3 linked regions of the Sus scrofa genome follow. The protein of the gene in region 3 interacts with the protein of the main gene of each other region in a pairwise test. Links are inferred from orthologs where the notes say so. Each region holds a gene or a part of one and is shown on either strand. Other genes may lie near its edges.

What was found.
Region 1: the proteins of MTUS2 (region 3) and ODF1 interact in binary tests that used the Homo sapiens proteins (3 or more experiments, as listed by UniProt). The two-hybrid records come from large-scale screens. The link is inferred for Sus scrofa from reciprocal best matches to the Homo sapiens genes MTUS2 and ODF1.
Region 2: the proteins of MTUS2 (region 3) and USP2 interact in binary tests that used the Homo sapiens proteins (3 or more experiments, as listed by UniProt). The two-hybrid records come from large-scale screens. The link is inferred for Sus scrofa from reciprocal best matches to the Homo sapiens genes MTUS2 and USP2.

What each region holds. Positions count from the first base shown.
Region 1 is NC_010446.5:34,513,742-34,524,641, forward strand, and holds the start of ODF1 (outer dense fiber protein 1), read right to left. Parts: upstream 6,861-10,900; 5' UTR 6,799-6,860; coding exon 6,479-6,798; intron 1-6,478.
Region 2 is NC_010451.4:46,558,091-46,568,796, forward strand, and holds the end of USP2 (ubiquitin carboxyl-terminal hydrolase 2), read right to left. Parts: intron 10,016-10,706; coding exon 9,965-10,015; intron 9,441-9,964; coding exon 9,317-9,440; intron 9,160-9,316; coding exon 9,048-9,159; intron 8,951-9,047; coding exon 8,840-8,950; intron 8,685-8,839; coding exon 8,620-8,684; intron 8,439-8,619; coding exon 8,335-8,438; intron 8,247-8,334; coding exon 7,954-8,246; intron 7,738-7,953; coding exon 7,630-7,737; intron 7,454-7,629; coding exon 7,339-7,453; coding exon of another isoform or gene 7,333-7,338; intron 7,139-7,332; coding exon of another isoform or gene 7,051-7,138; 3' UTR 5,379-7,050; downstream 1-5,378. UniProt on the Homo sapiens protein: Hydrolase that deubiquitinates polyubiquitinated target proteins such as MDM2, MDM4 and CCND1. Isoform 1 and isoform 4 possess both ubiquitin-specific peptidase and isopeptidase activities.
Region 3 is NC_010453.5:6,034,385-6,045,304, reverse strand, and holds the start of MTUS2 (microtubule-associated tumor suppressor candidate 2), read right to left. Parts: upstream 6,491-10,920; 5' UTR 5,492-6,490; intron 3,077-5,491; exon of another isoform or gene 2,852-3,076; intron 2,653-2,851; exon of another isoform or gene 2,308-2,652; intron 1-2,307. UniProt on the Homo sapiens protein: Binds microtubules. Together with MAPRE1 may target the microtubule depolymerase KIF2C to the plus-end of microtubules. May regulate the dynamics of microtubules at their growing distal tip.

The sequences.
Region 1 (10,900 bases), on a different chromosome or scaffold from region 3:
AGCAGCTGCACACCATAGCCAGAAAATGATGATGATGATAAAGAAGATGATATGTTTTTTAAAAATATGTGTTTTAAGAGACTCTCTTGGTAAATCTTCTTTCATCTCCTGGCCTCCAAAGGGAGGTCTCAGCATGCGTGCTTTCTAGAAGCTCTTTGGCTTGAGGAGTCTGGACTCTTACTTGTGACTGACTTGAGGTACATTTTTAGTTCTTACTCTTTATGTTGAATTGTTATACATGTACCTCTTTTTGTTACTTAAGTTATACAAGTTCATTGTAGAAAGCTCAGAAAAAATAGATAAGCAAAAAGACACATTATTTTAAAAAAAATACCCATAAGCCCTCTTGCCTTGTGCAGGAGATAGATCTGGGAGGCAGATCTACAAGCCAAAGCTGGCTCCCAGGTCCATTTCCTCCTCTTAGCAATCTGCCCTTGGAGTATAAGTGTTTTTTTTTTCTTTGTCTTTTTAGAGCCGCACCTGCGGCACATGGAGGTTCCTAGGCTAGGGGTCAAACCAGAGCTGTAGCTGCTGGCCTACACCACAGCCACAGCAACATCAGATCTGAGCCACATCTGCAACCTACACCACAGCTCAGGGCAACACCAGATCCTTAACCCACTGTGTGAGGCCAGGGATCGAACGTGCAACCTCAAGTCCTATTTGGATTCGTTTTCACTGCGCCCCGACGGGAACTCCATTTTGTTCTTGTTTTTGCTTAGATTCCCCCTCTTCCTCTCTTCCTGTCACTCTGGCCCCCTCCCTCCTGCAGCAGCTGGACAGGGTCTCACAATTGTGGGTCTTCAGGAAATTGCCCCCAACGTCTTGGCTGGGTCCAGTTTCTTCTACCTTTTGCTTTTAGGTCAGGGGCTATCAGTGGGGATGAGCGAATTCAGGAGAGATTGCAGAAGCCTCATGGTACTCATCAGATTTAACTCTGAACTTGCAACCTGACTCCCGCCTGTCGATGTCCCCGTCACCCCATAGGGGATTTTCCTTGGTTCTGTGGAGTTCTGGGCAAAGGAAGATGGCCTGCTCTTCTCTTTATCATGAGCGTGGACCTTAGTCACAGTAAACAGAGGCAAGGCAGCCTCTTTGGTTGGTGGCAGAAAGCTGGGGAAAAGCCAGAGGGCAGTGCTGTCTGTCTGCCAGCCACTCTGGGCTGTTGCCTCTTCTCCCGACTGAAGCTGGATTTCACTTGAATGTGTGACCAGCTCCTGAAGGTGATTCTGCCCACAGCAAAGGTGAGCGATACAGCCTGCCTTTTGTTCTTCATGCAGGTATGAATCAGGTTCAGCCGGGTGACGAATAAGTAATGAGGACGACGAGAAGGCCTGTCTCTTCTCTGAATCGAATGGAGCCTGGCATTCCTCTCGTTTTCCTTGGCATACTGTCCTTTTTCTCCAAATGTTGACCCCTGCCCCTGGCCCAATAGGCTCGATTGTTCCTTTCCAACACATCTTTCCTTCTCTCTCCTCTCTTCTCCCTCTTGCCATTTCCTGCCTTGTCTCTCTCCTCCTGACTTTTGAATGAGACCAGAGCACAACACGGGTACATCTGAACACTTGCGGGGGTCATTCAAACACAGGTATCTGGACCCCACCCCCAAAGTCTTGACTCAGCCTGGCTGGGGAGGAGCCAAGAATTTGAATTTCTAACAAATTCCAGGTGATGCTGGCTGCGGATCACTCTAAGGATCACTGACCAGGTGGTTAAACACATGGATTCCAGACTCAGGCAAACCTGGCCTCAAGTCCCGGCTCTGCCATTTCCTGATCATCCAGACCACTACCCCTGACTCTGTTTCACCATCTGTAAGGAGGCAAAGCTATTATAAGGATTAGATTGAAGGCACATGCTGGGCACTTGGGTTCTGCTCAGTGAAGTGTAAGTCTCTTTATCATGCTGTACCAGGCTTACACAGCCCTCCCTGAAAGTCAAAGCTTTTACTGACCAAGCCCCAAGTCCTGTGTCATGAAACAGTAAGGTCAAATAATGGATGTGCATTTGGCCTGGATGGGCAGCAACTCCTACTCCTGCCACCCTGGGATGCCTAGACTCCGAGACCTATGGGCACCAAGACATCGTGATGAGAGGGGACCAAAGGGCCCAGGTCCCTTCCAGCTCTGTAGGGACACATAGGGAAATAGCAAGCTCTCTTCTCCGTGGCAATGCCAACCTGCCAGCCGCCGTAAAGCCCCCCAGATTCGTTTCTGCCCTCGGTGTGACTGTGCCCTGCTGTGCCCTGACCTATATGGGTCAGAGGATGGGGGATGGAAAGACTCCCCCCCCCCGGGGTGGGGACCCAGGGAAGCACTGCTAGACCACAAAGAATGCACCCTGAAGGCTGACAGTGGCCCCTGACTCCCACTCCCACCCGCGCCCGCTCCCCCAGTGAGGGCGATTCTGTGAAAAGCATACTCAGAGCGTGAGGGAGAAATGAGAGGGCAAGTTTTTGAAGGTTTTAGAAGATGGTGCCCCTCCTGTAGGGAGTTTTAGGGGAACTTCTTGAGCCGCAAGCCGACCTCAGATACTTGGATGAGTGGAAGGAAGCAGAGTCTCAGGATTAGTTTCCAGGCCCCAGCAAAGGGCAGGTTGAGCCCACTGCCTCCCTAGGTGCAGCTGCAAATCAAGGTTCATTTGCGCATCAGGACTAGAGGCAGGCGGTAGAGATCCTAAACTCCTAAGGACAGGATTGAGGAGGGGCTGGCTTTGGTTCTGCCACTGGAGAACAGAAGACAGGGAGCCTACAAAGTGTGGGGTGAAGCCGGTGCCAACTTCCATCAGGCTGGTCGCATGGCTTCTTGTAAAGGAAACCAAATTCAGTTACTTCAATCTCTAGCAATCCGGAGGCGGAAGGAAGAGTCAGGGGAAAGGCTGGTGCTTGGGGTGCAAAAGGTGCTTTTGGGGGAAAAAGAATATTAAAAGAGCTGAAGAAATGCAAGTACTTACATGGGTCTCTACAGATGAAGATACGGCCAAGGTGTCTTTTGAAGCAGCTGCTCAGTTAAACAATGGAAAGAAATTGGACGTTCTTATGGAGTTCCCGTCGTGGCTCAGTGGTTAACGAATCTGACTAGGAACCATGAGGTTTCGGGTTCAATCCCTGGCCTTGCTCAGTGGGTTAAGGATCCAGTGTTGCCATGAGCTGTGCTGTAGGTCGCAGACACAGCTCGGATCTGGCATTGCTGTGGCTGTGGTGTAGACTGGCAGCTACAGCTCCAATTAGACCCCTAGCCTGGGAACCTCCATATGCCGGCCTGAAAAGCCAAAAAAAAAAAAAAAAGAAGAAGAAAGAAAAGAAACTGACCTTCTGTACCTGGTCTATAAACACTCCACACACACACACACACACACACACACACACACACACACACACACACACACACACACCACTCAAATAACACACACCAGGAAGGCTTAAAAGACTCCTGGCGGGAATTATACGCTCAGCCAAGCACCTTGCCTGTTATTAAAGGAAGACCCAAAGACAGCACACAGACTCTCACAAAGAAAGACAGTTCCAGGGAGGCCATGGCAACTCCAGGCCAAGGAATTCTACTGTCCCATTGGATGAAGAATCTTCTGGATAACACAGCTTGGCATCTGAAAAGGACATGTCATGACCTAACCAAACTGCTAGCTTTCTCTTTAAGGGGTAAGAGGTCCTGCGCCTATGATTTCTAAATGCTAAAAGCCTTGGGCAAGATTTCACACCGGGAGTGGTTTTGAAAAATTGAATCAACATAGTATTTCTGGATCTATTTAGTCATGGTTTGGGAGCTGAGAGATAAGAAAAAAGAGGCATTTTGCTGGAAAAAAATATTAACAGAGGGAGTCCTCTGGGATGAGAGCTGGATCAGCGTTTAACATTTTCATCCATATTCAGAAAACTGAATATTTGGGATTGCAGGTAATACTAAGCTTTTCAGGATAGTGAAGTGTCAAGCTGTCAGAATTAATAGGAGGGCTTCCCAGGGTGGTATAAATAGGAAGAAAAGTGGCTGGGCAGAAATATAAGAGGGCAGGCCTGAGGTCACTTCAGAAATGGACCCTGGGTTATCAGTTCGAAGAACCGGGAATTAATGTAAAGACATCAGCAGCTTGATGTACTCCCTCAGACAACAGAAAAAAAAAAAAATTAGCAAAAATACAGGCCTTGGAGTTCCCTTGTGGCACAGTGGGTTGAGGGTCCGGCATTGTCACTGCAGTGTTTTGTGTTAATGCTGTGGTGCGGGATCTTCCATGTGATACGGACACAGCCAGAAAACAAACAAACAAACAAAAAAACATCCAGGCCTTGTCAGGAAAATTATCACAATCCATAGAAAACATTACCTCTTGTATAAACAAGAATTAAGTATAAAGAGAATTAAGAATTGAATAAAGAGAATTAAGCTTGAAGTTGTATCTACAGCAGGTCATTCATTGTGTAGACTCCTGGAGGAGGCAGAGGGTGCCCAGGTGGTGAAGACCTTACCTGGAGGGTCCTGAGAGTAGGGACAGCCAGGAGACAGAAGCTGGGAGGACTTGGCTCAAGGGTATTCGAGTGTTCAGAGGCTCAGGGAAGTGGTCACAGACCTGCTCACAACTAACCCTTCATTGAGACCAAACATTTAAAAGAGAACCCCTGACTCACACTGCATGGCTTTTATGTAACTGGATACTCTAAGGAGTAAAAATTAAAAGTGGTTCAAGGTGAGTTTCAGACAGCAGAGGGAGGTCCATTTCTGACCTTGGGTGACTGATGACCTGCACAACAACTGCCCTGTCGCCCTTGGGAGTGAAGTATTACTGTCACTGTTTTCAAGGGTCTCATTCCTCTCTCCCTCCCTCCATCCACCCATCATGTTCTTTCTTCCTATCCATCTATCTATCTATCTATCTATCTATCTATCCATCTATCTATCTATCTATCTATCTATCTATCTATCATCTAATCTATTAGTCTATTAGATGAGAAGGATATTGTTTAAGGATACAAGCTGGCAACCAGTAGTCAAGTCCTAGAGAAATCTAATGCACAGTATAGTGAATATAGGCAATAAATACTGTATTGTAATTATCCAACTTGCTAAAAGACTAGAACTTAATTATTCCAGCCACTAAAAAGAAATGATAATTATGTAACATAGCAGCCGTGCTAATTATCATGACAATGGCAATAATATTACAATATATAAGTGTATCAAATTAACAACATTGTACACCTTAAATTTACGCAGTGGCATGTGTCAAATATAGTTCAATAAAAAGACCATCTATCTGTGCCCATCTTTTGAAAAATAGTAGCAGGAGTTCCCATCATGGCGCAGATGAAGCAAATCTGACTAGGAACCATGAGGTTGCGGGTTTGATCCCTGGCCTCACTTAGCGGGTCAAGGACCTGGCATTGCCATGAGCTGTGGTGTAGGTCACAGACAAGGCTCGGATCCTGCATTGCTGTAGCTGTGGTGTATGTTGGCAGCTGTAGCTCCAACTGGACCCCTAGCTTGGGAACCTCCGTATGCCGCACATGCGGCCCTGAAAAGCAAAAAAATTAAAATAATAAAAAATAGTAGTCTATTAAGTAGCTGTTCTGCACCTTGCCTGTCTCACTTAACATGACAATACTTCGAATGCTTCCTTGGTCCTCTTTACATCTACATATCATCTCGATGTATGGATATAACAATTATTTAACCAGAGGACAGTGCTTTCAACCACGTTTTTCATCATAGCAGCAGACTAAATAGCATATGTAGACAGAAGAAGAAAGCTTTCTTAGGTAAAAAATAAAATGTGATCAAAACCAAAAAATTTTAAAGTGCAATTAAAGTTACCCAATTCAATTCAAACTTTTTCAACTCTATTCTGAAATCTGGGTTCTCAGTTCTGTGGTTTATTTGCACAATCTTTACTGCAGTCGAAGGGGGAGGCAGACAATAAACTCAATTCCAGATGAATTTTAAATTGTCTAGAGTTGGAGAATAGGAGAAAGGATTTCCTGCAAAACCAAAGAAATGCCTCTATTGCTCAATTTGCTCCCCTGCTCGTAAAGCCTCTGGCAAACATTAAGGATTTGATCAATTATTATTACTTCTCCCATAGCCATTTCTGTGAGCCGAAGTATACTCAGATCACTTTACTCATAACCAGAAAAAATGTTTAGTTTGCCGCTTCCAATAGCTTTTTAATGACACCCCCTGTTTCTCTCCTTCATTAGAGCCACATTATTTATCACGTTGGCACTCCTGCTATAAGCCGAAAACAACCTTGCCAATCGACATCATTACACTGTCTTTTGAGAATCTTACAATTTCCGTCATGGACCCATTTCATCTTTCTTAAATCTTGGCTAAAGTCACCAGAGTCATTACTTGAACCCATCTCATCTTTGTTCAAGTACTGATTGTCCCCTCTCCTCCCACCCCAACCCCACGCCATTCCAGCTTCGGAGGCTCCTATACCAATTAGAAAAATCTTAGGAAGTTCTCACTTGGCAAGCTCTCTCTTTTCATCTTCTATGGCTCGGATGGCTTTCCTCTCCAAACTTCTGAGAGACGGTCGAAGACAGTAAAGCTTGACATCACACAGGCAACACGGGTAGAGATCGCACAGCCCGCAGGAGCGGGATCGCTTTGAATAGCACAGGCAGTACGGGTACGGGTGCAAGTCACAGCAGCAATAAGGGTGCATGTATAGGTCGCACAGGCATCGCGTGCTGAATTCGTCGATGCATCTCAGCTGCCTTAGTTCTCTGTCCACCTTCTTTATGTCCCTTCTAACACTGTCCAAAAGGCAACTCAGTGCAGCCATTCCAGTCACACCTTATTGCTCTGTGAGTACCTGTGGAAAATGGCACTCGGGGGGAAAAAATTGTTCTAAGCTCTTCTCAGAAGTGTCTTTTAAAAATAAATGAGGCACGCATGGTTCACTTACTTTAAAGCTTGTGTTCTATGACCTCACTGCACTCTAAGTATGTCATAGTCTTTGGTTACCGTGTGAACCGTACACAGCCACAGTCTTCAGAGACTCTCCTTAGAGTCACAGGGCTGCTCTCAGAACCAAACTCATGCTGAGATTTCATTCCTGTTGAATTGGGATGGGTCCCCCCGCCCCCAAGCAGTCACAGGTCTTGGGGGTTCATTGGGCTAAATTTCCCTATCCTGGAATTGTCAGCGTTATGCCTGGCAGACTAGCCAGAGCGAGGCAGATCGTGGTGTCGGGGGATGGAAGAAGCCACCTGGCCCCTCTCTCTACACCCTTCTAGCTCTGGCCTTGACTTGACACCTTGCCTCTTATACTCTAGGATTCCTTCTGGTTGCTATTCCCACTATAAAGATATAAAGAGCTTTCCCATGGTTCTTGTTACCAAGTCATCCTCAAATCAGCCTTTGACTTTGACCTTCTGAATCCTAAGTTTCTGAGTCTTGCCCCTTCTTTATTTTTTTATTTTTTATTTGTTTGTTTGTCTTTTTAGGGCTGCACCTGTGGCATATGGAGGGTCCCAGGCTAGGGGTCCAATTGGAATTGTAGCTGTTGGCCTATGTCAGTCACAGCAATGCAGGATCCAAGCTGCATCTGTGACCTACACCACAGCTCATGGCAATGCCAGATCCTTAACCCACTGAGCACAACCAGGGATCAAACCTGCGTCCTCATGGATGCTAGTCAGATTCGTTTCTGCTGAGCCACAACAGGAACTCCGCCCCTTCTTTATGAACTGCCCATTCCTTCTTAGCTGGCATCCTGGCTATCCTGGAACCTCAGTTCTCCAGTGGCCCAGGTCTCACTCTTAAGCTCCCATTTCTCAGTGTTTAGGGTCCTGGCCTTGGTCACCACCTCCCAACAACCACACCTCTGGGTCCTACGTCCAAGCCTCCAGATGCGTGGTCCCCAAGTGCTTCCTAAATGTTGATCCTTGATCTTCTTATATCCAACTGTCTGAAGTGGCCCAAAGCCAAGTATCTGAAACCCCGACTTGGACCAGTTTCCTGTGCTCTCAGCTGGATCAACATGCAGGGCCTGGGGCTCAGCCTTGGCCTTGGCTCAGCTACTTCTACTCCTCTGGGCCGTTCCCCTCAAACTGCTCTCCAGCTCTCAATTCCCCTTTTAGTGAGCTAAGGCATAGGGTGCTTGAGGACAAGTGGTTGGCTTGACACTGGAGAGGGAGACAAGGGCCAGGTTGGAAGGGACTTGTGGGCCTGCTAAGGAGTTTGAACTTTATTTTGAGCACAATGAAGAATCTCTGCTTTTCTTTTCTGTTGAGAGAAGTGGGAGGCTATGTCCAGCAGCCACACCAAAGGTGCAATGTAAGGGTAACACAGGAGCAGTGTCTTCTGCTGGAAGGCAGGGGACAGCCAGCCAGATTCTGGACGGCGGATGGTGGCCAGAGGGGTAGCCAGGAGGCCAGTTGGGCTGTCCTTCCCCACATCCACTCAGGCCCCACCCAGCCCACTCTGCACATTCCACATTGTAGCCAGAGTGATGTTCGCTTCCCCTCAACCCTACCCCACCCCCGGGCAGAAAAAGCCTTCAGCATTTCTCTGCCCTCTTAGAGGAAGGGCCAACATCCTTACAAGGTGCTGAACAGTAGGGCCTCTGCCTGCCTCTCCAATCGCCTCTCTCATCATTGTTCCTGTCATTCATTATGCTGGAGCCACAAAAGCTTCCTTGAAGTTTCCCATTCCTCCTCTCTCAGGACGTCAGCGCACACTGTTCTGTCTGCTTAGGAAATGAACTCCTCACTCCAGCCCTTGATCCAGTTAACTCCTGAGGCATTCTTTCTTTCTTTCAAAAATTTTTTTTACATTTTTTATTTTTTGTCTTTTTTGGGGCCACACCAGCAGCATATGGAAGTTCCCAGGCTAGGGGTCGAGTCGGAGCTGTAGCCGCCGCCCTATACCACAGTCACAGAAACGCAGGATCCAGGCCACATCTGTGACCTACACCACAGCTCACAGCAATGCTGGATCCTTCACACACTGAGCATGGCCAGGGATCGAACTCGCGCCCTCATGGTTGCTCGTCGGGTTCATTAACCCCTGAGCCATGACAGGAACTCTCTGAGGTGTTCTTCAGATCTCCTCTTAAATGTCCCTCCTTCAAGGCCTTCCCTGTCCCCTAGGCTAAACACTCATAACGGCTTATTTCTTCCATAACATCTTTTGTCTGTTTCCCCAACTAGACGGTAAGATCCACGAGGGTAGGGCCCTATTTTGGGGGGTCAGAAGTGACTCAGAGGTTTCTAGCTTGGCAGAATTGTGGGGCCCTTGACTGAGATAAGAAACACGGCAAGAAGAGTTAGTTTGGAGCACACGCTGAGCTTGAGGTGCTAGTGATCATTTTAACAGAGAAATGGTAAGTGAGCCTGGAAGTTGAGTGAATGCTGGGCTAGAGATATCAATTCAGAAGCCACAAATCCATAAAGAGTTGGAACCCTGGAGTGGGCAAGATCATAGGAGGAGGAATAGAATGAGAAAAGGAAAGGGCTAGATGCAAATGATTGCATTTGGAGTGGATAGCAATGAGATCCTGCTGTATAGCCCTGGGAACTGTATCTAGTCACTTGTGATGGAGCCTGATGGAGGATAATGTGAGAAAAAGAATGTATATCTGTATGGTGACTGGGTCACTTTGCTGTATGGTAGAAAATTGACAGAACACTGTAAACCAATTATAATAGAAGAAATAAAAATTATTTTAAAAAAAGAAAAAAGGAGAGGGCTGAGGCAGGCCACTGAGGGACAATGATAAGAAATGAGGGTGGGGAGTTCCTGTCATGGCTCAGTGGTTAAGGAATCCGACTTGGAACCATGAGGTTGCAGGTTCAATCCCTGGCCTTGCTCAGTGGGTTAAGGATCTGGCATTGCCATGAGCTGTGGTGTAGGTTGCAGACATGGCTCAAATCTGGCGTTGCTGTGGCTCCGGTGTAGGCCCCTAGCCTAGGAATGTCCATATGCCACAGGAGCAGCCCTAGAAAAGACAAAAAAAAAAAAGAAAGAAAGAAATGAAGGTGTATTGGAGCTCATGAAAGTCTCATGGAAGGAATAATCAGATAGGTGAGAGCCCCACATGCTGAGATCCCTTGTGCAACACTAGACCAAGCCCAGCCTTTCCCAGCCTTGACCTAAGATCCCCTTTGTGTGCAGATGAAGTGTATTAGTAAAGAAAACACATTTCCCTGGAGATATTAGAATGCGAGGCTGGAGCCTGAGTCACGTGGGAGGAGTTGAAAACCAAAAATGAATAGTACTTCTCCATGGACAAATGCTGAAGTCTTTCAGGATTAATTTCATCCAATTCTGAAGGTAGACTCTGTTAATAGGAAGACGGCCTACTCTTTCCTGACTGATCACTGTGGGACTTGTGCAGGTTTCTCTAGTTCCAAGTGATGGACTTGTAAACTCTTGTATCACCGTGAATCCCATCCCTTAGCAAATGTCAGCAAAGGTCAAAACAAGCAAGCTCTCAGTTTTAGATTCTTAAATATACAGGTTCAGGAATTTAAATACACACACATCTGTATACACATGGCACATTATGAAGATAGATACTGCTTTATTTTAACTAGGATTCTCCCACAATCCCATCTTCCTTGTCATTTCCCGCTGCATCATGAGGCATATTCTTGACATCACTTCAAGGGACTTAACAAAGGCAGCACGTCCTTTAAAGATCAGATGGAATGTGATCTAGTCATCTCCAAAGGGCAATGGAGAATTCCTCAGAACCTGCAGAAACCCACAGGAAAGATCTAGAGTCACAGTTCCCTGAAGCATAAACACAGGGAGCTTCCATGGGCTCTAAAATGGAGATGAGGGCCTCTCCTTCCACAGGACTGTGTCTGCGGAAGCTCCCCTCCTCCTTGGCTGGTGTCCAGATCGAGCCTCCTAGGGGATGGCGGGCAGGCCTTAGC
Region 2 (10,706 bases), on a different chromosome or scaffold from region 3:
CAAGGAGAACTTGGGGGTTAGGTAAGGATTCCAGAAAGGAGGGGTGCTTAGCATGGTGGGCCTAGGGAGTCTGGCTTGTAACCCATTTTAGGCAGGGGGTGGCTTGGTCAGAACTGGGTCTTAGATTTTCTTTTCTTTTTTTTTTTTTTTTTGCCTTTTTATGCCTTTTCTAGGGCCGCTTCCCTCGGCATATGGAGGTTCCCAGGCTAGGGTCTAATTGGAGCTGTAGCCACTGGCCTACGCCAGAGCCACGGCAACTTGGGATCTGAACCGAGTCTGCGACCCACACCACAGCTCATGGCAATGCCAGATCCTTAACTCACTGAGCGAGGTCAGGGATCGAACCTGCAACCTCATCATTCCTAGTCGGATTCATTAACCACTGCGCCACGATGGGAACTCCAGAACTGGTCTTAGAATGGTCCCTGTTTGTGGGAAGATGGTGGAAAGTAGGCAGAGGGAGGTTGGGAGCAGGAAGCTCCACAGCCGTCCTCTGCTGCACCCCGGTTCTGCTGGTGCAGGCGCCCCTGCAATTGGCCACTCCATGAAAGCATTTCTAGGAGAGCAGCTAAGCCGCTCGGTGAGGGGTCAGGGCAGGTGGGAGAATGGCCCGGGTAAAGGGACAAGGAGAGAAGCAGAACGCAGACCCCTCAACTCATCGTCTTGTTTGACCCTCATAACAGCCCTGGGAGGTAAGGTCAGGAGCTGTTTTTGTTCCCATTGTCCAGATGTAACTGAGTGCCAGAGTCACATAGCTGGAAAGGAGCAGCACTGGGGTTCGGAGCTGGGTCTGCTGGATTCCTCATTTTCAGCTTTTGGTTCGTTCCCCCCTTTCCTTTGATTTTTCTTTCCTTTCTTTTACATTTTAAAATTTATTTTTTTAGGAGTTCCTGTTGTGGCGCAGTGGTTAACGAATCCGACTAGGAACCATGAGGTTGAGGGTTCGGTCCCTGCCCTTGCTCAGTGGGTTAATGATCCGGCGTTGCCGTGAGCTGTGGTGTAGGTCTCAGATGAGGCTCGGATCTTGCGTTGCTGTGGCTGTGGCATAGGCTGGCGGCTACAGCTCTGATTAGACCCCTAGCCTGGGAACCTCCACATTCAGAGGGATCGGCCCAAGAAATGGCAAAAAGACAAAAAAAAAATTTTATTTATTTATTTTTTTATGGCCATACACGTGGCATAGGGAGGTTCCCAGGCTAGGGGTCCAGTCGGAGCTACAGCTGCCGGCCTACACCACAGCCACAGCAATGCAGGATCTGAGCTGTGTCTGTGACCTACACCACAGCTCATGGCAACGCCAGATCCTTACCCCACTGAGCAAGGCCAGGGATTGAACCCGCTACCTCATGACTCCTAGTTGGATTCATTTCCGCTGTGCCACGATGGGAACTCCTCTTTTACATTTTTCCATGTTCTTTCTATAAACTTGTAGAGGAGTGGGGACAAGAGGGCTGTGGGCAAGGAGTCCTGTGGGCAGCGTGTGCTGGAGCCCGGGTGAGCAGAGAAGCCCTGGGGAGGTTTCAGGCCTGCAGCCATTGAGCCCCAGGCCGCTTGCTTCATTCTTGGCCACCTGTCGGGCTTCCTTTTCTTCCTTCACAGGCCCTGGGCCTTGGCCTTCCCGCCTCTTCCTTCTCTTGGGGTCCCCCCACCTCCCCGCTGTCTGCAGGGACACAGTGTCTCCAGGCCTTCTTTCCTTGCTGCTGCAGAGGTGGGTGTGTGGACTTTTCTGTCGACCACAATGGATAAAACTAACAAAGGTAAGTTACCTCTTTTCTTGTTCAAGTGATCTCTAGCCCCTGGAAACTCCATTGTTCTTTTGTTTTTGTTCCTGGAAGCTTGAATCACTGCAGCTTGGCCTGGCTGACTGCCTTGTGGCCCCTCAGTAACCAGGAGGGGTGAGGCCAGCTTGAGGGTAGCCATCGCCTTCTAAACTCTCCCTCTGTAGTCCTCCCTCCGACTGGCTCTCCAGCTCCAACCTTCCCCTCCAGCCATTCTAGCCTCTTCCTTTTCCCTGGAACCTGCTGTTCCCACCCTACCTGTCTTTGTTCAGACTTGTCCTCTGACCAGAACACTTTCCTTTTGTTCATTCTTAGGACCAGCAGTATAGGTGTGCCTTAGGACTCGACTTTGCCCCAACCCGACCCGATATATCAAACACTCCCTCCTCTCCTTGTTCACGGCTGCCCCATTCTTGATGCTCACCCCCTGGTTTCTGGATCTTCTCTAGTCTCCAGGAGCCTGGAAGACTGCAGCTCACTCCCAGCCAACCCACTGCCGCCTCCGAGAGGCAGGTCACACCAAGTATCAGGAAATCAGGAAAGCTAATTTCTCGGCTTTGGAAAGCCCATTTGGTGGCTCTGCCTCACTGACTTCTGTGGGTTGGACAATGTTGTATTTACTTTGAATTCCTGAGAAGTCAGGAGCATCCCGAGAGGCCAGGGGAACTAAGCATTTATTGAGGATCACCCACTAAGAGAATCTCAGTAGAGCATGGATTGTGTGGTCCTGGAAACGGAGGTGAGGTGCGGGAAATGGACCTTTGTTGAGTACCTACTATGTGCTGGACACTCGTAACTCAGTAGCTATAGTTATGCTCAGATTACAAAGGAGGAAATGGAGACTCAGAGAGATTAAGTAATTTGCTTGGACTATAAATGCTAGTCTCTTTCTGCTGCCTCCTGCACAGGTGTTTGTGGCCAAGAGCAGTGAAGGACTGGCCCCTCAGAAGTGCACGCCCAGCCCTGCTTAGTCCCAGGTATGTGACAGATTGTGCTGGGTTTGCTCTTGGGTAAGTGTGAACCTGTAGAGTCAAGGAGTTCCTTGGTCACGTTGCTGTTCAGATCAGTTGCTAATAGACACAGGGCTGGGAAATTTGCTGCTGAAAATCCTGCAACATTTTGGACCACATTACTGTCAATTATTGGACCCAAAGGCAGAGCATTCAGGTGGAAAGAGATCTGGGTGGGGAGACGAGATCCCTGGCTTCCATCCTGCCTCTGCCACCGATGAGCTGGTGGACTTGAGTGGGGCTTCTCCAGTGGACAAGCTGACCTCTATGGTCCAAACTCTGAAGCAATATGCATTTGCTAAGCACTGGTCACTTTAAAACATAGAAACTCGGGAGTTCCCGTCGTGGCGCAGTGGTTAACGAATCCGACTAGGAACCATGAGGTTGTGGGTTCGATCCCTGCCCTTGCTCAGTGGGTCAAGGTTCCGGCGTTGCCGTGAGCTGTGGTGTAGGTCACAGACCTGGCTCGGATCCTACGTTGCTGTGGCTCTGGCGTAGGCTGGCAGCTACAGCTCCGATTCGACCCCTACCCTGGGAACCTCCATATGCCGCAGGAGCGGCCCAAGAAATGGCAAAAAGACAAAAAACAAACAAACAAACAAACAAACAAACAAACAAAAAAACATAGAAACTCTATAAAGTGCAGCCAGGGAGCCAGCGGTGGCAAGTCCCCTAACACAGGACTTGTATTTAGGGAAAAAGTGACTCAGGATGAGAACACGTGAGCTGAGACCTTTGAGATCCTCTAGTCCAATCTCCTTAATTCACAGATGAGACACTAAAGCCCAGAAAGAGGGAGGTTCTTGGTCAAGGTCACACAAGAGCAGGTGCAGGGACACTGCCTCCCTGAGGGAGAGGCCTGCTGGAACACCAGCAAAGAATGGGGAGAGAAATCCCAGTTGCTAGGAGGCAAAGCTTTTGGGTAGAGAAACACGGGGCCAGGTTGTGTGTGGGGGACTGTGTAGCACTAGGACCTGTTGCCATGGGGAAGAGAAAGCACCACAGGTTAAGTACAGAAAAGAGGGCTGCGAGCAAAGCTGGAGGGGGCTGAGCCCCTGCCCTCAACAGCTACCTATAGTCTGAATATTCCCCAGTAGAAGCCAATGAAACACACAGGCGGTTTCCCCCTGCAGTGAAACACTAGGCGCAGGAAGGGTATGGCACCTTACGCTAATCCGGGGCTCAGCTAGCCATTTTGCTCTAAGCCTAATGTTTCCATTTTGAAGGTGATCCTGTTTACCTATGGTGTGAGGGAAATCCTCAGTATTTAACATCGTATCCTGGGTTAGGCCCCTCCCAGCAGGTGGGGGAGAAACTCCAGGCTTGAGTCACTCTTGTTTTCAATCCTTCTTGGGAAATGTACAGAAAAAAAGCACCGCCCCCCTCCCACCCCCCAGCACTGTCTCAGCCCAGGAGTGGGGAGTGACAACAGGTGCCCCTGATTCCGCGAGGGAGGGAGACACAGACAGGCCTTGATTTCTGTGTCTGGAGCAGGGATGGCAGGAAAAACCCCGATAAAATACTCTAAGCTCAGCTGGTGAAGACTTTTGTTTTTCAAGTTCTAGGATTGGTGGCAGAAATGAAAAATCTGAAGTCCTGAGGAAAAAACCAAAGGAGTCACATCCCTGGGGATCCCGTGAGGCCCTCCCTTCGAGTTAAATCTGGTGCCATCTTGGAAGCAGCACTTTAGCACAAAGGCAGCCGTTTCCAGGTATTAGTGGGGCAAGTTGAGATCTTTTGGTTAATTTACCAAGAACCAAACCTCGATCACTCCATATCCAGGAATAGCCACTCTGCTCCAAGAGCAAACTTGGCTGTATTCAGCCTCTGCTGGAGAGGCTTGTCTTAGCTCGTCAGAGGTCTTTACAGACACCCAAGTGTGTCAACAGAGAACCACCAGAGTGCCCATACCAGCAGTTAAAAAGCAGACAGTCTATTTAAAGAAATGTCTATTAGAGATGCTAATTTTCTTAAGTGGGAAGCCAGAGTGCCAGATATGGGGAGACACGCTGGGGTTATCTAGAAGTGCTGATAGGACACCTCATCCCTAAATGTTTGCCTCCAAAAATGAAGTATACATAAACTAATGTGGTAAGATGTTAATTTTTAGATTATTTTCATAATCCACCCTTTATTTGCTTTTTAGGGCTGTACCCGAGGCACATGGAGGTTCCCAGGCTAGGGGTCGAATCAGAGCTACAGCTGCCAGCTTACACCAGACACAGCAACACAGGCTCCAAGCCGCATCTGTGACCTACACCACAGCTCACGGCAATGCTGGATCCTTAACCCACTGAGCAAGGTCAGGGATCGAACCTGAATCTTCATGGATCCGAGCCACAACAGGAAGACCCAAGATGTTAATATTAACATCAGTGAATCCAGAGGAGGAATATACTGTTCAAAATATGTACTATTACAGCTTTTTCACAGAATTGAGAAGTTTGAACTAAACAGTGTGTAATTTAACTTTTTCCAGAACGTGGAATTTACCATCTGGTTGAAGCAATAAAATACCTGGCCACTGACAGGTTAAGCGCTCTCCCTGGGTTCAAACCCCTCCCAAATCAAGATTTCGCCACTTACCAACTCATCTCTCAAAGCTATTATTTATTCTGTACAAGGTTCCACTGTACATCACACATTCTACTCTTGCTTACACAGTAAACAAGTGTACCCCAGCCCTTTGGCTCAGGTTCACAGGTCTTCCCTGGAGAAGCGTGTCAGGCCAGTTAAACTCAGGGTGTGTTTTTTTCCGGATGCCTCCTGGGAGCTCAGGAAAGTCCTGGGTTCCAAGGGACACAGGCAGGGCCCAGCTGTGTGGGTGTGCAGAGAGGTCCAGGCCCAGAGCCCGGTTCCTGGGTGCTGAAGGGCTTCTCTCCTGGGACAGCACAGAGTTTTGCCCAGCTGTGTAGGGCACAATCACGCCCATGGCAGAGAATCATACAATTGAGGCAAGATGTCCCCAAACACCCAGGCTCCAGCTCCCAGGCCGGACTGCAGACTGATGCCAAGAGGAGCCGGGGGGTGGCATGGGCATCCCTGAGAAACTCGGTCCAAAGGGCCTATGCCAGGAGGTTCTGAGAAGGGGGCTGGGGCAGGAAGGCGGAGGAGAGCTTGTTAAGGGGGAATAAATTAAAGGGGGGAGAAGCTTGAGGGTAGGGGGCTCGTGCTATCCTTCCAACAGCTGGGGAGCAGACCAGGGGCGGGTTAGAGGAAGCAGGTGGGCAGAACTTGAAACACTATCAGAAATCTTTGACCTACTCTCCTCTTCACCTCACTGCGATGCGAAACGAGCCAGGGGCTGAGGGCAAGACCCCGAGCTTTCCAATGGCTCTGAACATGGCACCGGGGAAAAGGGAAGAGGCTGTGGGATATTTCAGGGAGGGGCAGTCACCCCCTGGTCCCCAAATGCTATAAGGCACAGTTCTTGGAGGCAACTAGATTCCATCCAAAACATTAAAAAAACAAACAAAAAACTTGTCAGATCCCAGATCTACTGTGGCTGTGTTTGGGGTCTGGCCAACTCCCACCTAGCACCACTGGGGGCTAGCACTAGAAAATCTGTATTTGAAGAATTAAAAAAAAAAAAAAAAAAAAAAAAAAGGAAAGAAAGAAAAATGACCAGCACGACGTCCCAGCTGTGAAGAGGTGTCAAGGAGAGCATCTCCAGTCTGAAAACTTTAGTTATGGTAATTTTTTAAAAAAGTTGGGCTTCTAAAAACCAAAAACAGCTTTTTTTCAAAGATGTCCCCTCATCTGTCCCCCTGGGGTTAGCAGCGTTAAGAGGGCTCTTGGCTCACAGGTGTTTTCCTTGCTCCCGAACCGGTGAGCAGGGGTCCAGGTGAGGAAGGCGGGGCGCTCCCGGGGGCGATCCTCCCCGCAGGCTCTAGAGGGCGCTGTCTTCTCGGGAGGCCGCGGCCGCGCAGCGCCGAGGTGCTGTCTTCTCCCCACAGATGCTGCCGTTTCTCACACACAGGAACGAGCTGCGGGTGTGCAAATGCAAACAGCCGAGGGGCGCCGCGCCCGCTGGGTCTGTGTCCTGCGGATCTTCCCTGCCAGGCCGGCTGCGGAGCGCCCGGCTCCCGCCTCCAGATCCCGGCCATGCTGCCGCAACTCCTGCTGGCAGCTTCATTTTCCTTTATTTTTCTTATACGTCAGGGTTTGTTTTTGTTTTTTGTTTTTTTTTTTTTTGTCTTTTTAAAAAACTCAGGGTGTGGGGCTACCACGGGGAAGGGCGGACGGGACGTAGCTCCTGGCTGCTACATGCGGGAGGGCGGACTGGCCAACTCGTAGAAGAGCAAGTAGGCGTCGCTGGTGCGCACTTGGCTGGAGGACATGGGGGAGACGCTGCGGAGAGAGCAGGGCAGGTCAGCCTGGCGGAGGGGGGCCGTCCCAGATCTAGCAGACACCCCTGCCCTGGCCCCCTCTCCTGCTGTTTTCTGGAAAGTCTCCCAGGGGCAGCGACACACCTTCTGGCCCTGACCTCTTCTGGGTGAGGTGCGGGGGTCTGACAGCCGGGCCCGCCCCGAGGCCTGTCTCACCTGGAGTCATTGAAAGTGTGCCATTCGCCCGTGACGGGACTCCGGCAGTAGGCTGTGTAGTGGCCGCCCATGGTGGTTCCGGAGTGATTGGACACAGCGTACAGGTTGTAAACAGCATGGTCTGAGGAGGAGGCAGAGCGTGTCAAGCCCCCAAGGCATCCCTCGCCCCTCCCGTCCCGCCTCTGCACCCCGTGTCCACATCTCACTCCTTAGCTGCCTCCCTCCCCCTCCTGGCCTCCCATCTGTATCTCAGACACTTGTGCCTTGCTTCTGCCCTTCCAGCTGAAAAGTACTCACTGATGTTTTCTGAGGCAAATTCTCGCAAGTCCAGGTCTCTTAGTGGGAAATTCACAAATGTTGTGAGCTTGCTGGTTCGTATCCTGGATTCCGAGAACCGCTTCAGATCTGGCATTGATATGTGTCAAGGACAAAGAGGGTAACAAGAAGAGTCAAAGAAAAGGAGACGGAGTCCCTGAGGGTGACTGCGAGTCTCAGGAAGCAGACTAGCAAACAAGAGAAGGAAGCTTCCTTGTTTCCTACTCTGTTGGCCCTCGCCTTGGCCCCTGGTCATCGGCCACTCTCTACAAGTCACATCCCTGCCCTGATGGATCTGAAGGATACGGAGCACCAAGATCTTTGGGAACCTCTGGACGGAGAACTTCTTTATACAGCGTTTTCTGGCTCGGCAGCGACAGCACGTCTGAAAAACACGACAGACAGGGCTGGCAAGGACTCACAGAGAGGTCGACAGCCAAATCCAGCAGCTCCCGTGCCAGTCTGCCCCCGAGAGGGCTCTGGGAGATGAGCTTTCGCTGTCTTGGAAGGTGACTTACTGGCTTCTCGTCGCCATCCAGCACATCCTCTTTGGTGAAGAGCCTCATGCAATCCATTAGAGTCACCTCGGGATAACCTCGCTGGAAGAGAGCAAGGTAAAGGTCAGAGGTCGATGACATGGAAAAGTCATAGTGGGTCTTTCAACAGCGCAGCGGCAGGGGTACATACCTTAGCAATGGGCAGGGAGAGGTCCCAGAAGGGGTCAAAGACTGTAGAACAGTAACCACAATCCGTACACGTCAGGGAGCTCTTCAGCTGCCCAACAAAGAGATCTGGAGAAGAGACGGACACGAGGTGCTTAAGCACCAAGACTCCTCCCTCCTCATGGCTCCTGCCTCAGGCCTTTGGTGCCGGGCGCTGGGCAGCAGAAGGGGTCCCTGGGAGAGCAGGCTTCTTGTGCTCTGCTCAGGCAGGTCCCAGGACAGGCGGGTGTTCCCCCATGCCCGCACTTACCCCCGATCCGACTGTCTTCCCGTTCTAGATATTTCCTCCACATCTGGCGCCCTTTCTCATCATCACTAGGACCCAGAGAGAGGAAGACAAGGGGGTCAGTGCTCAAACCATGATAAGTTTAAAGGCCCAGCCATCGAAACCCTTAATATCCAGAATTCTCCCCACTCGTTACTCCCAGAGAAGCGGGCACAGTCCTGCCCCCAGCACTCCTCCTGCTTACGGGAGATGGTCGAGGCCCTCGGGACTGGACTTGGGCCTCACTGTGACCCGGTTCACCTCGTTGTGGAGCCCATCCAGAAGGAAGCGAAGAAACTCCTGAGCGTCCTGCTGACTGAACCCGAAGAAAGAGAGTGAGCAATACCTCTTGCCCCTGGGCCCTGCTGCTGCCCCCACCCACGGTGCGGAGGATGTGTCCCTGAAGCCCTTACTTATAGCCGACGAAGCGCGGTGCGTATCTCTGGATCTGGGTCTTGAACTCAGAGGGGCTCACCACATCATTGGGGGATGAGGTCCATATGGTCTGGATTAGTTTTGCAAACTCTGTAGGAGTGAAGGACACATGGACCATTTTCTCTAAGAAACTAGGGTCCCCACAAAGAGAAGCCAAAGGGAAGAAAGAGAGGCACATATAACACATGACTAGAGCGCAGCACTGGTGGAGTGGAAAAGCATGCAGTGTCCAAGGATGGGCCCTCACCTTCCATGAGGGCCGTGTGTGCACTGCTGCTGTGGCTGAGGTCCCGCATGTAGAGCCTCTGGAGGCAGTAGTCTCTCAGCTCCCGGGTGTTGCTCAGGCACTGCAGGATGGAGTTCATGAAGCACTGCAAGAGAGCACCCAGGCAATCAGCAGCGGAACAAAGACCCCTGTCTGGCGTGTCTTTTTACTTAATACCTACCCAAGGCCCTCTGGTTCATCTGGCCCAGAAATGGATCCTCCCACAGCCTCAAGTTCCTCTTTTTGTAAGTGAAAGCGGTGAAGTGAGGCAAATTCCCACTGCTGGCACGGGTGACGTAACTGGGCATTTACTACAGAGGTGTACAAAAGGGTGTGGGTGAGCCGGACAGAAGTGGGTGGGAAGTGATGGATGTCCTTGCGGAGAAGAATCCAGAAAAGGAGCTAAGCTGAGGGTTAAAGGGACAACTCCTCTTTAGCAGTACTCCCTGCTGGGGGCAAGGAATGAGGCAGAGCCCAGCCATTCTGTAAAACACCAGCCAGGAAGGGCAGGTACCAACTGGCCTAGGGGGTAGGGAGTCAGCTGGAGCCAGGAAGGGACCCTGGTTAGATGGTCCCACTTGGGATGGTAGGGAGTGGCCTCAGGAAAGAAGTGGGCTGGGAAAAACTTACCGTGTTCCCAAGGTTTCGAAGACCAGCCAGACCCTGGGCGCTCTTAGAGTTCTGTAAGCAAAGAACACGTGGCACATAAGGCTGCAGGAAGAGGCCCGGCCTGTACTAGGTTCTCTCTGCAACCTTCTGCCAGTTGTAGCCACTAGAATCAGGTCGCACACAGTATTGTCTCTTCAACTTTAGTCTACGAATGTTGTAGGAAAGAGGGGTGAGGAATGCCTGTCCTTTCCAACACACAGCAAAAATATTCTTCACAACAAAAATACTTTGCTTTCCTTTATCGACTATGTGTTTTCTCTCATCTTTATGTTACTCTTCGTTCTCTGCCATATCGGAAACTGGAGATTAGAGCCAGCGACTCGGTGTTCACATATCTCATTCCTGGCTCCAAGAAATCTCAGGTCCCAAATCCAGGTGCCCTCTCAAATGACCCTACATTTGTACCCCTAGATGTCTGATAGATAAAACAGCTGTCATCATAAGCTCCTCAAGGAAGTCCTGCAAAGTTCAATGACAAACACCTTAACTGAGTTTAGATCTCCAGCTGGGGAAAAATCTCTAGTTGGCCTGCTATTCCGACTTGCTGGAGACAGGTGGAATTCCTTCTAGCTGAGCTCAGCCCCTAAGGGCCGATGGAAGCCTGGGAGAATCCTCCCTGCCTGGTTCAGGTTTCAACATCCTCACTGGCCACTGGCTGGGAATCCTTCCGATGGCAGATAGCGGCCAAGCAGAGGTAAGCACC
Region 3 (10,920 bases):
GCAGCTTTAACCCACTTTCCTCCCTTCACCGCCCCCGTCCCAGCCTCTCCACCTCCCGCTCACACTCGGATCCAAAAAAGCCCCCATTTGTGCAAGATCACAAGGCAGAGCTGGTTCTCCAGGTAACCACCTGATTCCAGCAGCTCCACGCAGCCCTGGGTTAGAGCAATTTGCATTTGCTCCGCAGCTCAACTACAACGTTGACCAGATTTCTTTTTCTGTCTTTTCATAGGACGTTAAAATAAGATAAAGCATTCTTTAAAGTTAACGTTTGAACATAATTAGAAGACACGGCACATCCAGGGTTTGTGGAGTCTTATGTGTGTATGATGGGAAGTGGGAGGGGGGAAGCGAGTCTTCCTTATTTAAAAAAGAATCCAAAATTACAAATACAAACTTCTCTGGCTGCAGGAGCAATTGCCAATGGCTCTCCCGGGGGGCTTGAACGAAGCTGGAGTGAGGGGCCCTGAAGCTTAAGATTCATTAGCTTCCCAGTCAATCCGCCTCTGCTGGGAGATATAAAAGACCAGCGAGGTTTATACCCGCAGCATTAAAATCTCTAGAAAACCGCTAAGCATAACAGTCTTCTATTACATCAATCCTCTAGATGCTATTCTTATCTCCCTTTCACAAACCTCCATCCCTGCTGTTCCCTCTAATTTGGCAGCAGCAATTCATTATAAAAGTCCATGTGCTGGGCTGGGGTTGTGCATCTTCCCCTGTTCTGGCTTCAACAACCCGGTACTGTGTCCATTATGTAAGAGCCAAAACAGGGACTTTAATGGAATACAAAAAGCAGAGTCGTAGTTCTTACATAACCCTTCACAAACCAGCCATAAGATCCGCCCCCAGATCTGGATATTTGGAATTACATAAGGTAGACAGAAAACACTCATTCAGCAGCTAGGTTTATTTCCGACCTTAAAGACAATAAAAGCTTTCTGCACTTAACCTGCTGCTCTGTATTAACATGGGCGAGCTTTGAATTTGATGGAGAAGACTATCTTCACTAAGACACAATCGTCTTCGCACGTAAACATAAAGAAAGACCCTGACACCACTGCTCAACTTCACGGCTACCACTGCACAAAGCAATGTCCCACTTAGGATTCCCTGACAGAGTCTCCATGGAAGCATGGTCCTCAGTAAACATCAACTCAGGACCATGGGTTGTTTTTTGGGGTTTTTTTTTTTTTTTTTTTTGATTTTTGGCAGCTTAAAAAAAAAAAAACTCAAGAAAAATATTTCAACAAAATACAAAAGTGTCCGATGCTATAATTCAACACATCTCCTTTGCAACACCATTTTTCTCTCTCCATATTTCTAACCACTCATTTTGTACTTAAACCACAACTCAGGTGGAGCCACACCTCAGGCTATAAAGGCACAAAATTCAAAGAAAGAGTGCTATCCATCGGGTCTCCCCCCGCCCAACAGTATCACAAGGAAGCTTTCAACGTTGCTAAGGTCAGATGTCACCAAAACGAATTAGACTTGTGGGGAGGGAGTCACAAAAGGACATTCTCGGACCTCGGTATATCTGTTATTTCTACTTCTGTCTTATTCTTTCCTGGAAAAAAAAAAAACAACCATAAATAGGAGCAGAGGTTTAAAGGGTGGAGGGATCTTGAATAACTGGCAGTTCGTAATTACTAAGTTTCCATCAGCTGTAAAAATAAAGTCATTCAATAGTTTACAAGCCATAAAGGGTGTCTGTGGGATCTTTTTATTACCATCCATAAGTAAAGAATTTTCACCAAGTTTCTTAATAGCCTCTACGAAACCTATTTTATTTTTCTAATGTTTGACAACTCGACCCAATGAGTTCAGAGAAAGGCCCTATATTATCCTAAAGAATACGCTTTATTGTCTTCAAGTAAAGTTTTGGCTAAAGCAAAAATTATGACTTATGACTCTGACTTATCTTCAGCCTCTCTTCTTAGATGCTCTGGTAATCACTTTCATAACTTTACCGATGAACACATATTTTTAAAAAGCACTTATATAACAGAGCGTACAGGCGCCTCTGGTATCCTGCCAAGAGCACTTCTTTCCGTGTTTGTATTTAAAATAGAATGGTAGTAACATCACTTGTGTGCCTGAAATTCCTTCTGTGCACAGGCTCAGAATGAAAAAAAAAAAAAAAAAAAGCGGGGGGGGGGATGTAGCAAACCATTTCACTGCTTTACCATTATAAAGCTCAAAGGAACTAGCACATGCCTACTATATTAAGACGAAGACGCAGAACAAATTATCCAAAGCTGGGGGTGTGTGGGGAGGCGGGGGAAAGGATTCGGTTCCACTAACCTCCAGCCCTTCTGAATCAGAGGCTGTTTAACCTGGCAGCAAGCGACGGTGCCAAACGAGCTGCAACACCTCAGCCTGAGCAGGATGTAGGCAGGAGGGAGTGAGTGCTGCGGCGGCAGAAAAGCCAGAGCGAGCCCCCGCTGCGGTCTCTCCCCAACTCCGCGCGGGTTCCCAGAAGGCAGGCACCGGAGCCCGGGCCGACCCGACGGTGCAGAAGAGGATTCGCTCACCTGGGTGGGCAAGAGCCGAGAGAGATGGCCAGGCTGCCACCACTGCCCTTAAAGAGCCCCTCATCCCGGACCAGGCTGCCACACGCCGCCGCCGCCGCCGCCGCCGCCGCCTCCAGCTCGAGTTTTCTATTTGGCGACGGGTCTGGACTCTGCCCACCGGCCAAGGAGGTCCGCCAAAGGGGTGGCTCCAAACTTGCCGCGAGGAGCCAGCCGAGGCGGCGCAGGTGTTGGAGGCGGGGACGCCCCCGCGCCCAGCGCCGGCCCGCCCGCCGGGTCCCGCCGCCCGCCCACGCCCGCCCGCGCCCCTCGCTCACCTCGCGTCGGCACCGCCCAGGCCGCCGCCCCCGCTCGGAGCGCGCCGTGGCCGCTGACGGGGACCTCCGACCGGACGCCCAGGCGCCCCCCGGACGATGCAGCGGCCGCTCCTCCGGCCGCCTCGCCCGGACAAAGAGAAGCCGCGGGGCGGGCGGCGGCCAAGCCCGGGCCTCGGAGCGCGCCGCGCAGCCCGCGCAGCCCGCGCGCCTCGCTCGCGAGGTGCGGGCGGCGGTGACAGCGGCCGGGCGGCGAGCGGGCCCGCGCGGGAGGGCGGCGCGGGGCGGAGAGGCGCGCACCCCCTCCCGGCCGCCCCGAGACGCACACGCCGGGGCCCGCGCCCCGCGCCCGCAGCCCCGCCGGGGAGCCGCTGCGCCCTCTGCCGGCCGCGGGGCCGCCCTGCGCGCGCCGTCCCGCTGCGGCTCCGGGCAGCCCCCACCGCGCCACCGAGGCCAGGAGCCTGCCGGCGACCCCAGCGAGGTGGCCGGTGCTGCAGGGCAGGGGGCTTCGAGGAGCAGGACCTGCGGTCTTCCTCTGAGGGAGAAGAGGGAACGGCTTCGAATGCGGGGGCAGCAGCACGAGTTTGGGCTCAGCACGGGGAACCTCGAGGGCAGTGGGATTCCCGAGGCACGAGGAGCCCGAAATGATCCTCTAGGAAGGTTTGTGGGAAAGGCAGGCTTTTCTTTCTAGAATCGGGTTTAGTTCTATATTTAATAAGCTCCAGTTGTGCCTAACACTGGCCGAGGGGTTCCAGAGACCCTCTCGGTAATAAATGTATTAACCACTTCCCAAAGAAACGCTCCCAGGGAGGCTTGAAAAGGCAGGGGAGGGCTGAGACCTTTGGCTGCCTCTGGTTCAAACAGCAACGCAATAAGCATTATAAAATGGAATCGCTGGTGCTGGTGGTCGCACTATTTAGGTGTTGGGGGTTTTTTAAGAGTAGTGGGCTCTCTCTTTCCAGATCACCATGTTAAACAATGTTTTACACCGGTTCATGTCTGAAACACTGCTGGACCACCAGGCAAAGGGAAATCATGAAACGGTACCTTTTTCTGCACACCACTGTCTTTTCAAATGATTCTAACAGCTCTCCCTTCTCCTCTGGAAGAATCTAGGGCAGATTTCATAGCTTTTCCTGTCACTTTCCAGTGCTAATAAACAGTCGGTTTCTTTGGTATTAAAAAGTCCCATCCAGTCCAAATCAAAACTTCGGTCCCGTTTCCCGCTCTTGCCTCCCACCGGCTCCTCGGGAAACCCAAGCTCAGAAGCCTTTGAGGCCTTTCCCTTCCGGGCTCCACATCCTGGGCCGGCTCGGTGCAGACTGGCTCCTCCAGGGTGGTGGGTGGGGAACCGGTCCTACCCGGGCTCTGGTCCTGGCTTCGGGTCAGCTTCTCTGCGGGTGTCTCTGCGGCGTCATGTGACCTGGCGGGCCGAGCCTTCCTCCTCGGTCAACCACCCGGGTCAGCCATCCAGGTCAACCCAACCATCCGGGTCAACCATCCGGGTCACTGGCACAGCAGCACGCCCTCTTCGTTCCCTGCTCGCAGGAGGCTCTGATCGGCCTCTAGGAAGCTTGTCATGTAGGAGTCAGGAGGCTGCGGGTTCAGGTATGCCCGCAGACCCCAGGTGGTCCACGCCAAGCCCTCTGCGGACTTCTCCAGAAGCCTTTCTCTGCATGCAGTGGCCGTACCCCTCCTCTCCCTCACAGCACTCTGTAATTCTTGCTACCAACCTTCTCCCACTCCCCCCTCTCCCTAAAATTGGGCTGAAGTCAGAACCCTTATGCAGCAAATCCTGCAGAGGTGGCCCAGTGCCTCTATTTAGAGTGTGGAGAGACCTCTTTCTGCGGTGGCCATGGACTTGGGCCTCTCACATCTCCAGAGTGTAACTAACTGATGGGCCTCCAGCAGTCACACCTTTGATCTACCCTGGTGCTCACACCAAGGTCGCACACCCCCCCAAGCCGTTCCCACCAAGGTCGCACACCCCCCCCAAGCTGTTCCCACCAAGGTCGCACATCCCCCCAAGCCGTTCCCAGCCCTGGCTGACTCTGGTGGGAGCACTAGGTGATGGGCCATGTCTGCCTAACGGAGGACACAGCTCTTGGGCAGTCTTTGTCCTCAAACTCTCTATTGTCCTGCCAAGGCTTTCTCAGAACTGCCTCCAGCCCTTAAATTCTCAATGTCTGCTTTTGTTTGTCTTTTTTTTTAGGGCCCCACCCACAGCATACGAAGTTCCCAGGCTAGGGGTCCAATCCAAGCTGCAGCTGCCGGCCTACAACGCAGCCACAGCATTGTGGGATCCAAGCCAGGTCAGCAACCTACACTGCAGCTCAGGGCAACACCAGATCCTTTACCCACTGAGCAAGGCCAGGGATTGAACCCACATCTTCTTGGATACTGCTCGGTTCCTTATAGCTGAACCACAACGGGAATTCCATAGTTATTTTTATTTAATCTGACAACATCCATCTTTTCATTTGTAAATATACCTCATTTAATTACTTATTAATTATTATATAACTATATTAATTATTTGTATAGTTGAACCTACTCTGCCATACAATTGTGAGCTTTCTACCGGTCCTGCTATTTTTTTTTTCCATATTTTCTGTCTCTCTTAGAATGATTGATTGTCCTTACCTCATTTCTATCTTCACATGGCACCACGTCTACAAATCTTGGTTAACAATTAACTCTCTCCTCAGGCTTCTGTTGCCACTTCGCTGACGTCAGCTACTGGTTCAGTTGTTACACAGCATGAGAAGACACAGAAGAAGGTACATATGCTGTAAAACAAATAACACGGGTGAACCCATAACCCAGTCAATCACTTGCATCCATCCTAACTCCTCTGTCCCCCTCCCTGCCCTCGTTCCGCCCCTAAAGGAACCCACATCCTGAATTTTACGCCCTTCATTCTCTTTCTTTTGAAACAATTTCATCACATGTGTGTGTAACTGAATAACATATTGGTGAAATTTGGATTTTTAGGCTTATAAAAATGGCATCATACCTAATGGGAGTCTGCAACTTGCTATGTTCACTCAGCGTTATGTTTCTAAGATTCGCCTGTATTATGGCACATAATTGACGTTCAGTCATTTCTCACTGCTATTAATATCCATCGTTTTCCTATTCAGTTGCTTTCCACTTTTTTTAAAAATTGTGAATTCATATGAACAGCTCATAAAAATCACCTTGTGTATTGGAAAGCCTTCAAGATTATCTAAATGTTTGTGCGGTGTACCAACAGAAGCATTGGCTGTACCAGTGTACGTTTCCACCAGCAAGGGTAAGTGTGTACCCCACTTTTTCTCTTTCTCCCCAACACAGGACATGGCAAGATGGTGGAAATAAATGATATCTCAGTGTGGTCCAACTTGGTATTTCCCTGATGACTAAGGAAATAGAACCACTTTGGGCTATGTGCCATCCGTATTTTCTCTGCTGTGAAATACCAGTCCACATCTCGTGCACATTTTTCAGTTGTATTTAGGCATTTGCCTCATAGATTTATAGAAGTTCATGACATAATTCTTTGTTGATGGTTTATATTACCAATACGTTCTCCCAGGGAATGACTTAATGTTCATGTTCTTTATGGTATTTTTGGAAGAAGTCTTCATTTCATTTCATTTCATTATTTATTTATTTTTGTCTTTTTCTAGGGCCGCACCCGCGGCATATGGAGGGTCCCAGGCTAGGGGTCTAATTGGAGCCGCAGCCGCTGGCCTACACCACAGCCACAGCAACGCAGGATCCGAGCCACGTCTGCCACCTACACCACAGCTCACAGCAACGCCGGATCTTTAACCCACTGAGTGAGGCCAGGGATTGAACCCGCAACCTCATGGTTCCTAGTCGGATTCGTTTCTGCTGAGCCACGATGGGAACTCCTGAAGAAGTCTTGATTTTAAAATAGTCAAATTTATCAACTCTTTCTTTCCTGAGTTTCTATGTGTTTTTAAAGAAATTCTAAGGTTAGAAAAATATTCTCCAATATTTTATCCTAAAAGTATTAAAGTCTGCCTTTCATATTTTTAGTCCTTAATCAACTGGAACTGATTTTTGGGTTTTGTGTGAGATGGGAATCCAATTTCCATTTTATCCATGTGGATACTCAGATGGTCCAGACCATTTAGGAGACAGGTCCTTCGCCCCTCAGGGATCTCCAGTGGCCCTTCTGCTGCACGTCAAAATTCCATTACTATGCAGGAGGCTTCTTTTCTTCTTCTGGTCAGCTTGTCTATTTCTATACCCAGACCCAAAGCTTAAAGGCTGCAGATTCAGCATCGGTCTTTATATCAGGTAGGGCAAGTCCATCAACCTTATGCTTCTTACCTCTTGAGAGCCAGCCTTGTCAATGGTCAGTTTCAATGAAAATTCCATTCAGCTTTTATTTCGAATTTGAAGATAACAACTTCATGATACTGAGTATGTCTCTCCCGAAGGAGAGGGTATTTCTTGAGTGCTCTTCAATGTCCTCCAGTAAGATCTTATCATATCCTGTGTATAGATCTGGCACATGTTTTGTTGAAAGTATTCCTAGAGTGGCAGCGTGCCGGTTGGCTTGTCCCCCATAAAACCCGTGCATCTCTTCCTGGGCCCACAGCTGCCCAGAGAGCATCTGTTCACCCCAGCAGTGACGGTGCAGCCTCTCGTAGCTCCTACCTTGAAAGGATCACTGCCTTCCCTGGACTCAGCTCTCCCTCCCCCTGCCCTGACCGCTGCTCCGCCGTGGGAGTGGCCCAGCTTTGATCATCCAGATAAGTACAGTGATCTCAGGAACCACCTAGCCACCAGCTGAAAGGAGCTTGGGTCACCGGATGACCTCTGAAGTCCAAGAGCCTAGACCAGCCACACTAGAAACTTCCCTCTGATAGGGGCCATGCTATGTGGGGGTATTTGTTACGTTGTGTTGTCTTTTTTATACCCTGTTAGATTCTGTTTAGTGCTATTTTACCTAGAATTTTTACGCCTCTGCTTAAGAGTGAGATTGAGCTGCAATTTTCCTGTATTCTTGTGTTTTTCCTTTGTTTTGAGGCCATCAAATGCATTAAGAACATTCCCATTCTTCCAGTCCCCTGGAGGAATTTACATAAGCTGAAATCATCTGTTTCTAGAAAATTTCGTTGAACTCGTCCGTAAAACCATCTGGATTGTATGTTGTTCTTGTTGGGGAGAATTTCTACTGTAGAGTGATTTGATTTTAATACTTTCTTTATTAATGCGTAATAAGTGCTATCGCAATGCAGTTGTAATTTCCACTTTTTCTATTGCTAATGGACTGGATCATCGTTCCATACATCTATTAAGTGTGGGCTTCCTATTTCGTGCGTTGCCAGTTGATGCCTTTTTCCTGCTGTGATCATTTAGATTCCTTCAGCTTCCCCTCCCACTGCGGGTGGAACACCATTCCCCACCGCAATGACGCTGGCCTCGGCCACACGGCTTGCTTCGGCCAACAGAAGGTTAAGCAGCCACGACACAAGCGACAGGTTTAATTCTGCTTGCTCTCCCTGGCTCATCTCTTGCGCGCTTATCACCATGAGAACCAGCCCTGGGTGCTCCCCGATGAGCACACCTGGAACGGACCTCTACCCCAGCTGCATCCCGGAGCCAAGCCCAGAGAACCTGCAGCCTGAAGCAGCGTCACCCAGGCCAACCTAAATCAGCCACATCAGAGCTGGCTGGCAGACGGGTGCGAGGATGAAGGCTGTGGTTCTAAGCCGCTGAGTTTGAAGGGGATGTGTTAGACGGCAATATTGTAGCAATGGCTGGGTGACACAGTTCTTTATCTATGAAGGTGTTAGAGAGTTCTTACCAATTTTTGTAATTATTAGCCCATATAATTGTATTTTTAATTATTTATTTATTGAAGCATAGTTGATTTACAATGTTGTGTTAGTTTTGGGTGTATGGTACAACGCTTCGGTTTTTTATACATATGTGTGTGTATATATATATACGTCTGCGTGTATATATATATATGTATATATATTCTTTTTCAGATTTTTTTTTCCTTTACAGGTTATTAGAAAATAACCTGTAAAGGAAAACACAGTGGAGTTCTCTGTGCTGTAGGTCCTTGCTGTTATTTACTTTATATGTCGTAATGCATTGTATTAATCCCAATCTCCTACTTTATCCCTCCCCCTATAATTTTAACATATAATTATAATTAGTACGTAAGTAACTTACAACATTATGCTGTATCACTGTAACTAGTACTCCATGCTAGAATTTGTCTTGTATTTCAATGGTGTTTTTTAAATTTCCATAGGAAAACTCTCATTTTTACTTAAGTGGGTACATTTTTTCCTCTGTTAATCTTTGACTACTTTTGACCCTAAACGGTTCCAGTTCTGAGATTTAAAAATAATCAGTTATCTATTTTTCTGAAACATTAAAAATATGTACTCCCCGTAATCTATCTGATGTAAGAGAGGTATATGAATCTTTCTTAGATCCTCATATTTTTTTCCTGATTTCAATGTACTATATCTTAACTCTAAAGTTAATCCCAGTTCCAATTGGAAAAAAATGTTTAAATTGAAAACTCATTAAGATTATATAACAGTCACCCTTTCAACTGACATATTTGTTTTGCTTTCAAGTTTTAGTTAAATTAGCAAACCAGTTTTACTATCCCAATTACTTTGTGTTTAACCGAGCTGAAATGAAGCTTTCGTTTGCTGCCCACTTCCTCTAGAGGAATCGAATTCACCACGGTCATCCAGTGATCCACATCTTTGTTCCTTATTAACCAAAGCAGTGTAATCACTTCCCAAGATTTTCTTACTACTCCCAGTTCCTGGATTATCTTAGGATCCTCTTATCTGCACAGGTGCGATGGAGGAGGCATGCTGCCTCGTTAGAAGGACTAGAAAAGGGCTCTGTGAGCAGCATCGCTGTAGTGAAGGTATCTCCTGGGAGAGAAGCTGTGGCCCCCGTGGAGGCTCCCCTGATTCTCCAGTGGGAACTCGCTTGTCCCTGTGGTCCCCAGGCCGTGTGTGGGTGGGATTTGCATTGCCTTTGTTTACATGTGTGTTCACCCCACGTGACGGTGAGTCCCCAGTTGGCAGTTACTCATGTCTAGGGGTCCAGCACCCACTGTGGTCCTTGGCTTCTAGCAGATGCTCAGTACATGTTGGTTGATTGATCATCTGACCGGAAGCCTGCACTGGGTGATATGAAAGGGACAGTGGGAGCCTACCTCTTTCCCTTTCCTCTCTGTTAGACCATGACCAATATGTAATTCATGTAAACTCACACCAGCTCTTTCCTTTATAGCTCTCATCTCGGTTGTTACTGGAGTGCCCAGGCACCAGGCAGGACATAGGAAAGTGGGAATTTAAAAATTATCCCTGGAGTTCCTTTCATGGCTCAGTGGTTAATGAACTGGACTAGCATCCGTGAGGAGGCAGGTTCAATTGCTGGCGTCGCTCAGTGGGCTAAGGATCCAATGTTGCCATGAGCTGTGGTGCAGGTCACAGATGCGGCTCGGACCCCACGTTGCTGTGGCTGTGGCGTAGGCCGGTGCCTGCAGCTTCTATTCGACCCCTCATCTGGGAACATCCATATGCTGCCCGTGTGGCCCTAAAAAAACAAAAAATAGAAAAAAAATACATAAATAAAAATAATCCTGAGTGTCTAAGTTATTCTAGCACCATGATGTACTGAACCGAGTGGGGTCGGGGGCTGCTTAGGATCCAAGTCCAGCTCCTCCCCTTAATACCCAGCTTAGAGGAAGTCACTTCATACCCCAGGGCTGCGATTTTGCCATCTGGGAACGTGCCACTGCCCTGCACAGTCCTTGGTTCTCTACAGGATGACGGTCACACCCCGGGGGCACTGAGTGCCAGCTGTCAGTTACTGGATTAACAACCTTGGGCAAGTTCTTTAACGTCATTGATGCTCAGTTTCTCTAGAATGAATAATACCCACTCTTGCAAAGTGGTTGTGAAATGTAACTGAGGTTGGGTAGATGAAGCATGTGGCACTGTGCTTCGCCCACAGGAGAGTCTAGACCGGAACCTCAGTCTTATTCATCTAGCCCTGTCCTTACA